Drosophila melanogaster: one gene and its partner. The gene in region 2 interacts genetically with the main gene of each other region. Each region holds a gene or a part of one and is shown on either strand. Other genes may lie near its edges.

The links. Genes that interact genetically often act in the same process or in processes that back each other up.
Region 1: of Mks1 (region 2) and dgo, changing one enhances a phenotype caused by changing the other (phenotypic enhancement), as found in Drosophila melanogaster (one study listed by BioGRID).

Annotation. Positions count from the first base shown.
Region 1 is NT_033778.4:10,815,484-10,821,686, forward strand, and holds dgo (diego), read right to left. Parts: upstream 4,402-6,203; 5' UTR 3,809-4,401; intron 3,621-3,808; 5' UTR 3,618-3,620; coding exon 3,558-3,617; intron 3,492-3,557; coding exon 3,066-3,491; intron 3,011-3,065; coding exon 713-3,010; 3' UTR 554-712; downstream 1-553. Other genes in the region: Prosbeta5 (proteasome beta5 subunit), read left to right, coding at 4,590-4,736, 4,799-5,500; Lsm10, read right to left, coding at 5,702-6,127.
Region 2 is NC_004354.4:12,493,886-12,498,178, forward strand, and holds Mks1 (meckel syndrome, type 1), read right to left. Parts: upstream 2,713-4,293; 5' UTR 2,677-2,712; coding exon 577-2,676; 3' UTR 510-576; downstream 1-509. Other genes in the region: mdu (meduse), read left to right, coding at 3,688-3,708. UniProt on the Drosophila melanogaster protein: Probable component of the tectonic-like complex (also named MKS complex), a complex localized at the transition zone of primary cilia. Required for ciliary structure and function.

The DNA.
Region 1 (6,203 bases), on a different chromosome or scaffold from region 2:
ATTTATAGAATTTTAAATTAACTACGAAGACATCGAGAAATCATCATTAGGCACTTGCTAAAATTGTACTAACAATACCGCAGACATATTGGTGAACGATATCAAAATGTTGCCCAATTTACTTGTTTACTTTTGTCAGCGGTGGGGATTTGGTTTTTTTGAATTCCCACCAAACATCGGAGCTCGATTATTGAGATGATTTCCTGGTTGATTTCGTTTACACAATTATACAGAGTTCATAAGCCGCATGTCTATCAAAACACCAAAATGATCTGTTATCAATAAATATATGTACTTGACATTCTGATATTTACACATGCATAAATACTATTATTAAACATTTTTAAAGAAAAATATATTTTGATCGAAAACATTCGGTTGCGTTTGATTTACAAGCGAGCAGGTTGGAACGTTTTTAATATTTTGGGTATTTTTGGGGTCAAAAGTGGAATAACCAAATAATTAAGTACACGATATTCTCATAAATTACGCAGAATATGAAAACACTCAGACCCAAAACTCCTCAACAAAAAACAACAAAATTATTGTACATATATCTTTGTATTATATTTATATATTTTAGACCCTCCAGATTAGATGCATCAGTTGAAAATAAGTTAACTTTTCTTTGTAGTTTAAAACTTGATTACAATTAAGATAAATATGTAGGGATTAGCTATGTACAATGGGAACAGCTGTGGGATTACCGAACTCAAACTAGACTCGAGACATTGTTGTAGAGGCCAACGGCAGACAGCTCGTCCAGATCGATTTCATTGGATGGAAGATTGGGATGAGGCCAGTTCCTTGGCCTTTGATTAACATGGGGCGGCACAATGGCCTGAAAGGTGGGGGACTGCAGAGGCCTATAGGCTACCGCATCCACGTAGTCCACTTGTCTTGGTGGAGCATTTGGATGTGGAATCCTTCCCACGTAAAGATCTTCACTGCGATAGAGACTCGCATTTGGTACGTAGCCGGAGTGCAGCCTTCTCTGCGGAGTTTGCGGAATCGGTGGACGGTGGGGCAGTTCATGGAAGTAAGCATCTTTGGGTATGTGTCTCTCGGGCAGCCCAAACTGGGCGCTACTCCGGTGGGGAATACTATACGTGGGCGAAGGGTTCGAAGAGGTGCCCTCCAAGTGATGGAAGTTATTGTTCAAGCGGGAGTGTGATCTTGCGGCGATCACATGTGCCGTCTGGGAGTCCTGTCGATTGGAGTCAATGGTGTTTTGCAGTTGGGCCACCATATCCCTCACCTGACCAGCGTTCGGCTTCTTTAGGCACTTGATTTCACTGTTCCGAATCTCCACCTTACTCATACTTTCATTGCCATTTTGACGCACTTCTGTTTCCTCGGCGTACTCCATGATGGGATTGGAGTAAAATAAATTCGACATGACGGGATAGTTGTCTTCCAAGCAAAGAGGCTGCCGTTTCATCAGATTGGAGATACCTGCCGCCTCGCTCGCTTGCTCCTTGTAGAGCAGCTTGTCGCCTCCCATTCCCTCGGCAGTTTCATTGACAGCCGTCTCCTCTTTGCCCAGATCCGCGAAGGAGGCATCTTTTCGAAGCGCCTTGATCACCGAGTTCAGCATGTTCTCTCCTCTCCCAATGCGCTGGTAGTACTTATTGTAATCCGGGTGGGGATTGCTGCCCGTGGGTGATGCCTCCCAGTCCCAGCTGTTGGAGTTCTGGGAGGGATTTGAGGTCTCACTGGAGTTCGGATAGCGTCGTATCACGTTGGCGTACTCGTCGAAATTGGGACTATTAACACTCTCTTTATCTTCTCGAAGTTGGGCAGACTCCGCCCTTGGATGGGGATTATAAGGTGGCGATAAGGAAGAAAGCTGGCGCTTGCTCTCCTGTTCGCTGTCCCTTTCCATGATCAGGGTGGTTTTCTCTAAAAGCACTCCCAGTCTTTCGGAGACTTTTAGGAAATCTAGCTTAAGTTCATCTAGCTTCGAGTGCTCCTCTGGTTCCGCCTCTTCTTGCACCTGGTCCTTGTCACCCACTTCTGCCTCTTCTTCATCCCGAGCTTCATTGGAATCGTCATCGCTGTCGCTATCCACCTGGACCTCCGCTGATCGGTGTACTATAGCCTCCACTGCCTGATCTTCCAGGACATCTACACTCCGTGAGTTGGTGAGCCTACCACCTTCGTGGTTGTTTTCCAAGAGCTCTAGACTGCGGCACCTGGACATTGTTCTTTCGATCCTTGAGCTCTTGTTCTGCTGATCGAAGGTGGACCGCATAGGTTCACCTCGTCGCAGGAACTCACTGAGGTGCTGCCTCTTGCTCTCGCATCGCAATCTGTCCTCGATCATCGTTCTTGTGAGCTGTTCAATCTGATCGTTCGTCTTGATTGCCAATGCCTGAACTTTGTGACCTAGACGTTCCTTGGTTTTGTGAACGTATTTCTTCAAACTCTTTCGATTGCAATTTAGTTTGTTTTCAATGTGACGGAAGAAGGGACCGCAATAGCATGTGTTGCCCACGCTGACCGGACCCTTGTGAATATGACCAGCCAAATCCAGGAAGTATTGCTCCCCCGACTTAAGTGGCTCCTTGGGCAGTGTCTCCAGTTTTGGTGAAGGAAAGGCACGCGGATCGGGAAAGTAGTGACAGCCATAGGGTGACCAGTTGATACCCTTGTCCACCACATCCCTTTCACGATCTCTGTCCTTGTCCGATCTGCTGCCGCCCTCCTTGGGTTTCTCCTTGCGATTCCGTATCTTCTTCGGCGTGTTCAGGATCTCGATGATTTCACGGTAGTTCTTCCTGATCGCTATGTGCATGGGGCAGTCGCCTTGTGCGTTTTTAATGCCCAGCCGAGCATCTGCCTCTAGGAGAATCCTTGTCAGCTTCCTGCGACCCATGGCACAGGTGATGTGCAAAGCGGTGTCGCCGTTCAGATTTGTTTTATTCGGATCGCAAAGGGCGGAGAGCAGGATCCGGGAGACTCCTGCATGTCCATATCTGCAGGCGGTGTGCAGCGGAGTATCTCCATACTGAAATTGTTAAACATGTTAAACATGGTTATCACTGATATGATCCAACACTTACATTATTCCGGACATCGGGATCGGCGCCGGCCAGCAGTAGCTCCCTAGAGCTCTGATTGTGACCATTTTGAGCGGCCAAGTGCAGGGCGGACAACCCTTCGTTGTTGGCAATACCCAGGGCGCTATTGTGTAGGGCTTCGATGGTCTGGTGGGCCACCTTCACTCTGCCCTTGTTCTTATCCTTGTCTTTGTCCTTCTGTCCCTTTGCTGCTTTTCCCACCCCCGAGGAAGCGGGTGGCGTGGGGGGCGTGCAGATCAATTTCACGCAGCGACTGAACCCCCGACTGGCGGCCTCATGGAGCGGGGTATTCCCCTGCACGGATTCCCTGGCCAGTCGATCAGCATTGCTGAACAGGAGACCCTCCACCCGGCGATCATCTCCGGCGGCTACCGCCTCGTGCAGCGAAGTCCAATTGCTGGAGTCGGGCTTAAATCAGAAAAAGAAGTTACATCGGTGTAAGATTTGTTGGTTCAGGCAAGTGCCCTTACTTACCCCGGATATCGCATTCGGGAGAGCTTCCTGTTTCGGAATGCGGGAGGATCCATGCTGCATTGTCTGCGAAAATATTCATTATTTATCAAATTTGTTAAATTATAATTTCATTCATTTATCATGATGTGTTGCAATTATAACTTTTTAAGTAACACTTTATCAAAACCAGATAAAATTAAAAAAATTATTTATATTAGAACTACATTTTGTCTTTAATAAATGAAAAATCTTACTTAAAGTACCGTAATTACCGTTAGAATCGTTTATATGTCGAAAATCATATGAAAGATGGTATTCTTTGATATAACCTTGTTGACGACGAAAGAGCTTAACTTGACCTGGGATCAAATGAATCTGATCTTCGATCGCACATTTTCTAGCCGTGTATGCGCATGTATGTGTGCCTCACGTAATGGCGTACCACGTAGTAATTGTCATTACAAATAGAAGTGGGAGTTACCAAAAGCGATCAAATAAAGGACTCGTAATTTGAAATACAACCTTTTTGAGGGTAGATTAAATGTCTTTCATTATAACACATTGATAAAACATGTATGGTTTCTTAAATGTTCAACACTATTACAGTAAATTTCTAGACCTGAAAACCAGGTTTAAAGTGCGCCTAGGTTTTCTCGATTCCCGACTTACTTTTCACTAATTTTAAATCCCGTCTTTGGACCGCAATTTACGCATTGCAATTCGCCACTCTCACGTATTTACACATGTTTACTTTCGACTATTGTTCAGTACCCGACTTTGCAGTATTTGGCCATTGATGGATTGATGGAACGCCCAGAGTTAATTTGGCTTCAAGCCAGGCCTAAAAAGAGACTAAAAGAAAGCCAATCACAGGCAAAATTGGCAACAGGTTTCGAGCTGGGTTGCCGTACCTGCGACAGCTAACGGTGAAGCCGATAGTCTGCATTATTGCTCCAACAGAAGTACGGTCACTCTACAAGTAGGCAACGAATTTTGTTTGTCATCGGCATTTCGCATTCAACGTTTCCAATTGTTTTTTAAGGAGCTTTAAGAATGGCTTTAGCTGAAATCTGCAAGATATCGAATGCTCCGTACATGCGGCCCAATGCCTGGTCATCGGCGGATGTGGAGGAAGAGCAAAAAGGGCTTATGTGCAATCTGGCCAATCCCTACACACTGGCTGCTCCGCCATTCGAGAACGTATGTAGTTAATTAGCTGATCTTCTTGGGAAATTTACTAAAAAATTTGACAATTTCCTCAGCCCCTGCACAACCTTAATCAGATCCAGGCCAATGGCGACAAGACCGGCGTCAAAATCAACTTCGATCACGGCACCACAACGTTGGGCTTCAAGTTCAAGGGCGGCGTTCTCCTGGCAGTCGATTCCCGTGCCACGGGTGGATCGTACATTGGCTCCCAGTCGATGAAGAAGATCGTGGAGATCAATCAGTTCATGCTGGGCACCTTGGCCGGTGGCGCAGCCGATTGCGTTTACTGGGACAGGGTCCTTTCGAAGGAATGCCGCCTTCACGAGCTTCGAAACAAGGAACGCATCTCGGTGGCCGCCGCCAGCAAGATAATGGCCAACATTGCCCACGAATACAAGGGAATGGGTCTGAGCATGGGCATGATGCTGGCCGGTTACGATAAGCGTGGTCCAGGCCTCTACTATGTGGACTCCGAGGGATCTCGCACGCCTGGCAATTTGTTCTCTGTTGGTAGTGGATCGCTGTACGCCTACGGTGTCCTGGACTCTGGCTATCATTGGGACCTGGAGGACAAGGAGGCCCAGGAGCTGGGACGTCGCGCCATCTACCATGCCACCTTCAGGGATGCCTACTCCGGTGGTATCATTCGCGTGTATCACATTAAGGAGGACGGCTGGGTAAACATCTCCAACACCGACTGCATGGAGCTGCACTACATGTACCAGGAGCAGTTGAAGCAGCAGGCCGCTAAGTAGAGTTTTGATTAAGGGAATATAAGATATTCAGTTTGTATACGTTTGAATTTCTTGGAATAAATAAACGTGCTAGAGACTATGTTTTGTGTATAATTGATTGGGCTAATTTGTTTTGCTTTTCATAGGTTTATTACTATAAATGTAGTTGTATGTATGTAATGTATTTTTGGTAAATATAACAAGTACGCATATATTAATAGTTTAGGTTTCCTTATTCTTTTTTTGCTGTGAGATCATTTGCAATGTTTCCTTGTGTCGCACTTCCGCTCGTTTTTGCTTGAATGTCCGCTTTCCGCCCTTGGTTTCCACTCGCTTTCTTCGCAGGACTCCCCGTTCCATTGCGCTTCGAAGTTCCTGCTCGGCATCCAAGTACGAAGGTATGTGGATCTGCCGTATCATTCGATTCCGCACCATAAAGTGATCAAAGGGGTGCTGACCACCATTGCGATCGATGAAAACTGCATGGGTGAGCTCGCAGGTCATGTGTCCATCCGCTACATCGATGATTCCGGCCACAGAGGTCTCGTTGTGCAGATCGATCAGTACGGAATGACCCTGCAGCATCACGGGCCAACAATTTAAGGTGTTGGACACCAAATACTTCTCCCGCGCACTAAACTGCTGCATTATATCGATATGTTTAAAAATAAGTGTTTGCTCTTGGACACGGAGCTGCCAACTCGCTTCATAAGTAATTTGACAT
Region 2 (4,293 bases):
ATTTAAAAATAATTGCCTGAATATTGAATGTCATACCTCAATGAGCTCGTAATTAAATTTCCCATCAAACTGTGTCAAAAAAAAGGAATTCTATTTTTTTGCTATTTTTTTCAAATTTTGATGATGTTACCCCTTACAAAAAATGAGAAAATTGACTCAAAAATAAATTTTCCTAAATCCCTCAAAAAGTGATTGGGGTCGTTAGCAATGGTAATTAGCTGTCCAAAACTGTTTACATTACATCTTAATGATTATTATTAGCAAAATTATGATTAAAATTCCCATCGAAAAATGTATGAAATTTTGCCAATACCGTTTTTCCGATTTTTGAAATTAATATTATCGGTTTTTTTTTAAATAGGTGTCTGAATATATACCTCTTTGAGCTCGTTCTTAAATAATCTATCCAAAATATTCCACATCAAATGTACATACATATGCTTCTCACGTTTTTTACTCATACATAAAAAAAAATACGTCTTTCATAATATAATTAATTACTAATAATTATACAAATATTATAGTTTATATAAAAAAAAATTATTTGTCATCATATTATTGTACTCATTGAAGGGCTTAAAACTCAGCCTGGTAGTATGCAGATGATGGTGAGGCTGTTTCTGAACTATTTCCCAGGAGCAGCTCGATCCGTTTCCTGGCCTCCACAAAGGCGGCCATTACTTCGTCCAGAGTGGTGGCCCTCGAAGTATCCGGATTTGAACTGGATCTGACATCGTCATCATTGCTATCGCCATCGTCGCTACTATCGTTGCCGAGTTCCAGATGGAAGTGGTGATGGAACTGATCAGATGTGTCTATTTGGCGCTGCTGAAGCTTTTGAAGCCGGAGCGAAAGTGTTCCCGTGGTGGTCATTGGCCTGTCAGAGTTGAAGTTCAAACGGGAATGCATTTCCGATTGCCGATGTACATCGAAGAAGGACTCAAAGTCGAACAGCTGACGACCGCCTATGAAATACCGATTGAGGGCATCCAGCCAGTTGCCCAGTGGTCGGATGCACTGCAGCCGTATGGAGTCCGTTGGCAGGGCGGATGTTAACGGTATCGCATAGTGAGCATATCCCTCACATCGCTCCCGCTGCCAGCTATCTATGCTGATCACTTCAAAATATAGATGCAGTAGATCAGCCGGATGATGTTGTTCCTCCAGCAGCAGGGTCACCTGCCAGCAGTGACCCAAATGGGCACTCCTCCAGTCGCCGGCATTCCTGCACGTGGCCGTCGCTCCCTGCATGGTATCCACCCCAGGTGTACCCTCATAAAAGGTATTTGCTGGTGCTTTCAGATAGTATCTTACATGTATGTTGGGGTTCTCAAAGTTCTGGCCTTCCTGTAGTTCCAGCAGCAGGCTGACCCGCTTCATCCTCTTGGGCGGCATTTCGAACTGGAGGAGACTTCTCCTCTCGCTGGCTGCTTCTCGCCGTCTGCGATAAAACTCGAGTATCTCCTCGGCGGAGGCTTCTTCGGGCAGATCTTCTTCGATGGGTAAACCATCGCCCAGTTCCTGCTCATCCTCGCCATCCGCCTCCTCAGAGAAACCATCATCGTCGTAGGCCTCTAGCGGTGTGACATTCTCAAAGCCAAAGGCATACAACTGTCGGCAATCGTTATTCCGCTCGATCTGAATCACATAATCCAGATCCTGGGCACTGCTACTGAAATCCGGATAGACATAGAGCAGACCCTGTTCGGGATCATATCGTATACTAACCAACAGTGTGTCCTGCTGCAGATCGGCATAGATGTACATTAGCTGATAGCCCTTTTTATGGAATTCACTTGCTTCGGCGGGCATAAGACTCTCGGAATCATTATCCAATAAGGTGTGTATGAGGCACGTTCTGGCGGCAAAATTGGGGTCATCCAGTATTGAAACCTCCGACATATTCGCCGAGGACAGACTGGTAATAGTCGGGTGAGCTGCGGCAGAGCAGCCTCTCTGCTTCGCCTTGGGCTTTCGTATCCGGCGACGAATTGTAATAGGCTCAGGATCCTCCACCGTCTCTGCATCTTCCAGATTCTCCAGTTTCCTTAGATATCGCTGTTGTAGCTTCAAGGTTTCCAAGGCCCACCTGTGATAGCGCCGCTGTAGTTTCGAAGCGCAACTTCCAGGATTGTTTATATATTGCTCCAGTTCCGCTTGACTAAAGTGCTTTTGCTGCCAGGATATGCGTATTGTGGCTATAGCACCATTGCAGAGTTCCTTATTCCGTTTATAGAAGAGATCACCAGCGGGAGGACGACTATTATCACTGAGAATGCTCCACGACCGATTACTTTGGGACTCCAGATCCGTTATTTCTCCCTCGTTCTTATCCTTTTCCATTTCCCCCTCATGCTGAGATATTGGACTCCTTCGTCTCCTGCCGGTGTAACCAATTCCCACATTATAATAACTGCAGTTGTAGCCCAAGCCAGTCTTCCCTCCACACGAATCATCGCCCTGGGGGACATGAATATAGCAATCCTGCCAGATATCTTCCTCCGATCCGGGATAGTGGTCACCATATGCGTTCGTCGATTGCGCTCCCGCGTATTCAAATTTGGGGACCGGCAGCCATTCACTGATGTGTCGCAGCTTCAGTTCCAATTGCAGATCTCCTATGTTTCCGCTCACGCGATAAACTCCAGTGCGCTTTATGTCTCTGCTTTTTTGCATGATTCGCCGATGATTATTTTGCCCAGTAAATTTTTAGTTTCTTTATTCAAACCTCAAAGAATGTAAATGACTGGCCTTCTTTGTTTGTTTTCCATTTTGTTATGTTTTGTTTATGGTTTTTGAATTACCGTTGCCCAGGTAACCAATCGATTATATACCGAAAACCAACTATTGTTGCCGTGACAACCATGAAGGCCGATAACTGTCTTTGAAATATGATAGCTAGAAAATAGCCGAAATTATATTAGCTGCTCAATAAGATTTTTATAAATTTAAATTGTACAAACTGTAATTTATTCATTTATTTTATTATAGCCACAAATACAATGTCAATTAGATTGGAAATAATAAACATACATTACACAGCTAGCACTGAACATTTTTAAGTTGTATATTTTTTATTTAATAACTTACAAATAATAATTAATGCTTTGTTTCCAAACGAAATAATTCAGAATGGTGAATGGATTCAAATCCAATTTCAAGCGAGATAGCTAAATCTAGCTAGATAGCTGCACTGTCGCCAGCCCTGGAACATACCAACTCCGCTTCGGTATATTCGATAGGCTTATCGATTGCTCGCGAAGCTTTGCCGCTGTGTTTGTGTTATCGTCGGCCGCTTTATGCACTCCACATTCCTCGTTTCATTTTGGCCGCCAGTTGTGTTTTCGATTGCTCTGCGTGCTGGTCGTTCCTCCAAGTCTGCAATTCTGCACAATTTTACAATTATTCTTCGCGCGTACTCCAACTCCCCATTCATCCGTCTGTTTGTTTGGTTGTTTCCTTTCTTCGTTGCACCTTTTGCGCGCGCGCAACCGCCGATAAACAGAGAAAAGAAGAAAAGGAGAAATTCTGCAACAAACACTGGAAGTGCAATTTTAAGTAGACGATCCCGTGAATGTTTTCCAGTTGAAACATTTACTATCGTTTCATTTTTTTTTTAAATTTTGTTCTGTTAAGTGTTGAAAAAAAAGTTTTTGCAGCCACAGCAAACTAAAACTTTTCATCAAAATGCAGCAGAAAGTCGAAGAGGTTAGTAAATAATAAAAACATAATAATAAGTTAATAATATCTAAGATCTTGGTGTATATGAAATCAAGACAGACTGTTGAAAATACATGCTATGTTTGTTTGTTCTTCACCAAATGAAGAAAGTTTTAGGTAATTTCAGAAGCATTAAAAAGACATTAAGTAGGAACCTAAAAGTAAGCAAAAACTAGTGCATTTTATATTTCATTACTGAGGAAAAGTCTTATTACATATATTCGTTAATGTTAAACAATAACATTTTACGATTATAGTTTACGAAATAATCGTTAATTTCCAGCAGATGATTACATTAGATTTGCAGTTTATGAAGTTGTTCTTGTATTTTCTCTTACTTTTTTTTTTTGGTTTTTGATTTTACTCCACCCATTACCCATTCTCCTATCTCCTTTGCTTCCCTGCATTCTCCTGTATTTCATTGAACTTAGTACGCCCCCGATGCTGCGCTGCTTCTGCTGGCGTCGCTGCCGGCGTCGCTGTCGCTGCTCTGCCGTGACGTTCCATTGACTGATTTTCCCGACTTTCCGCAGAAAAAAAAGAGAAAAAAAAGAGAAAAAAAAAAACGAACAA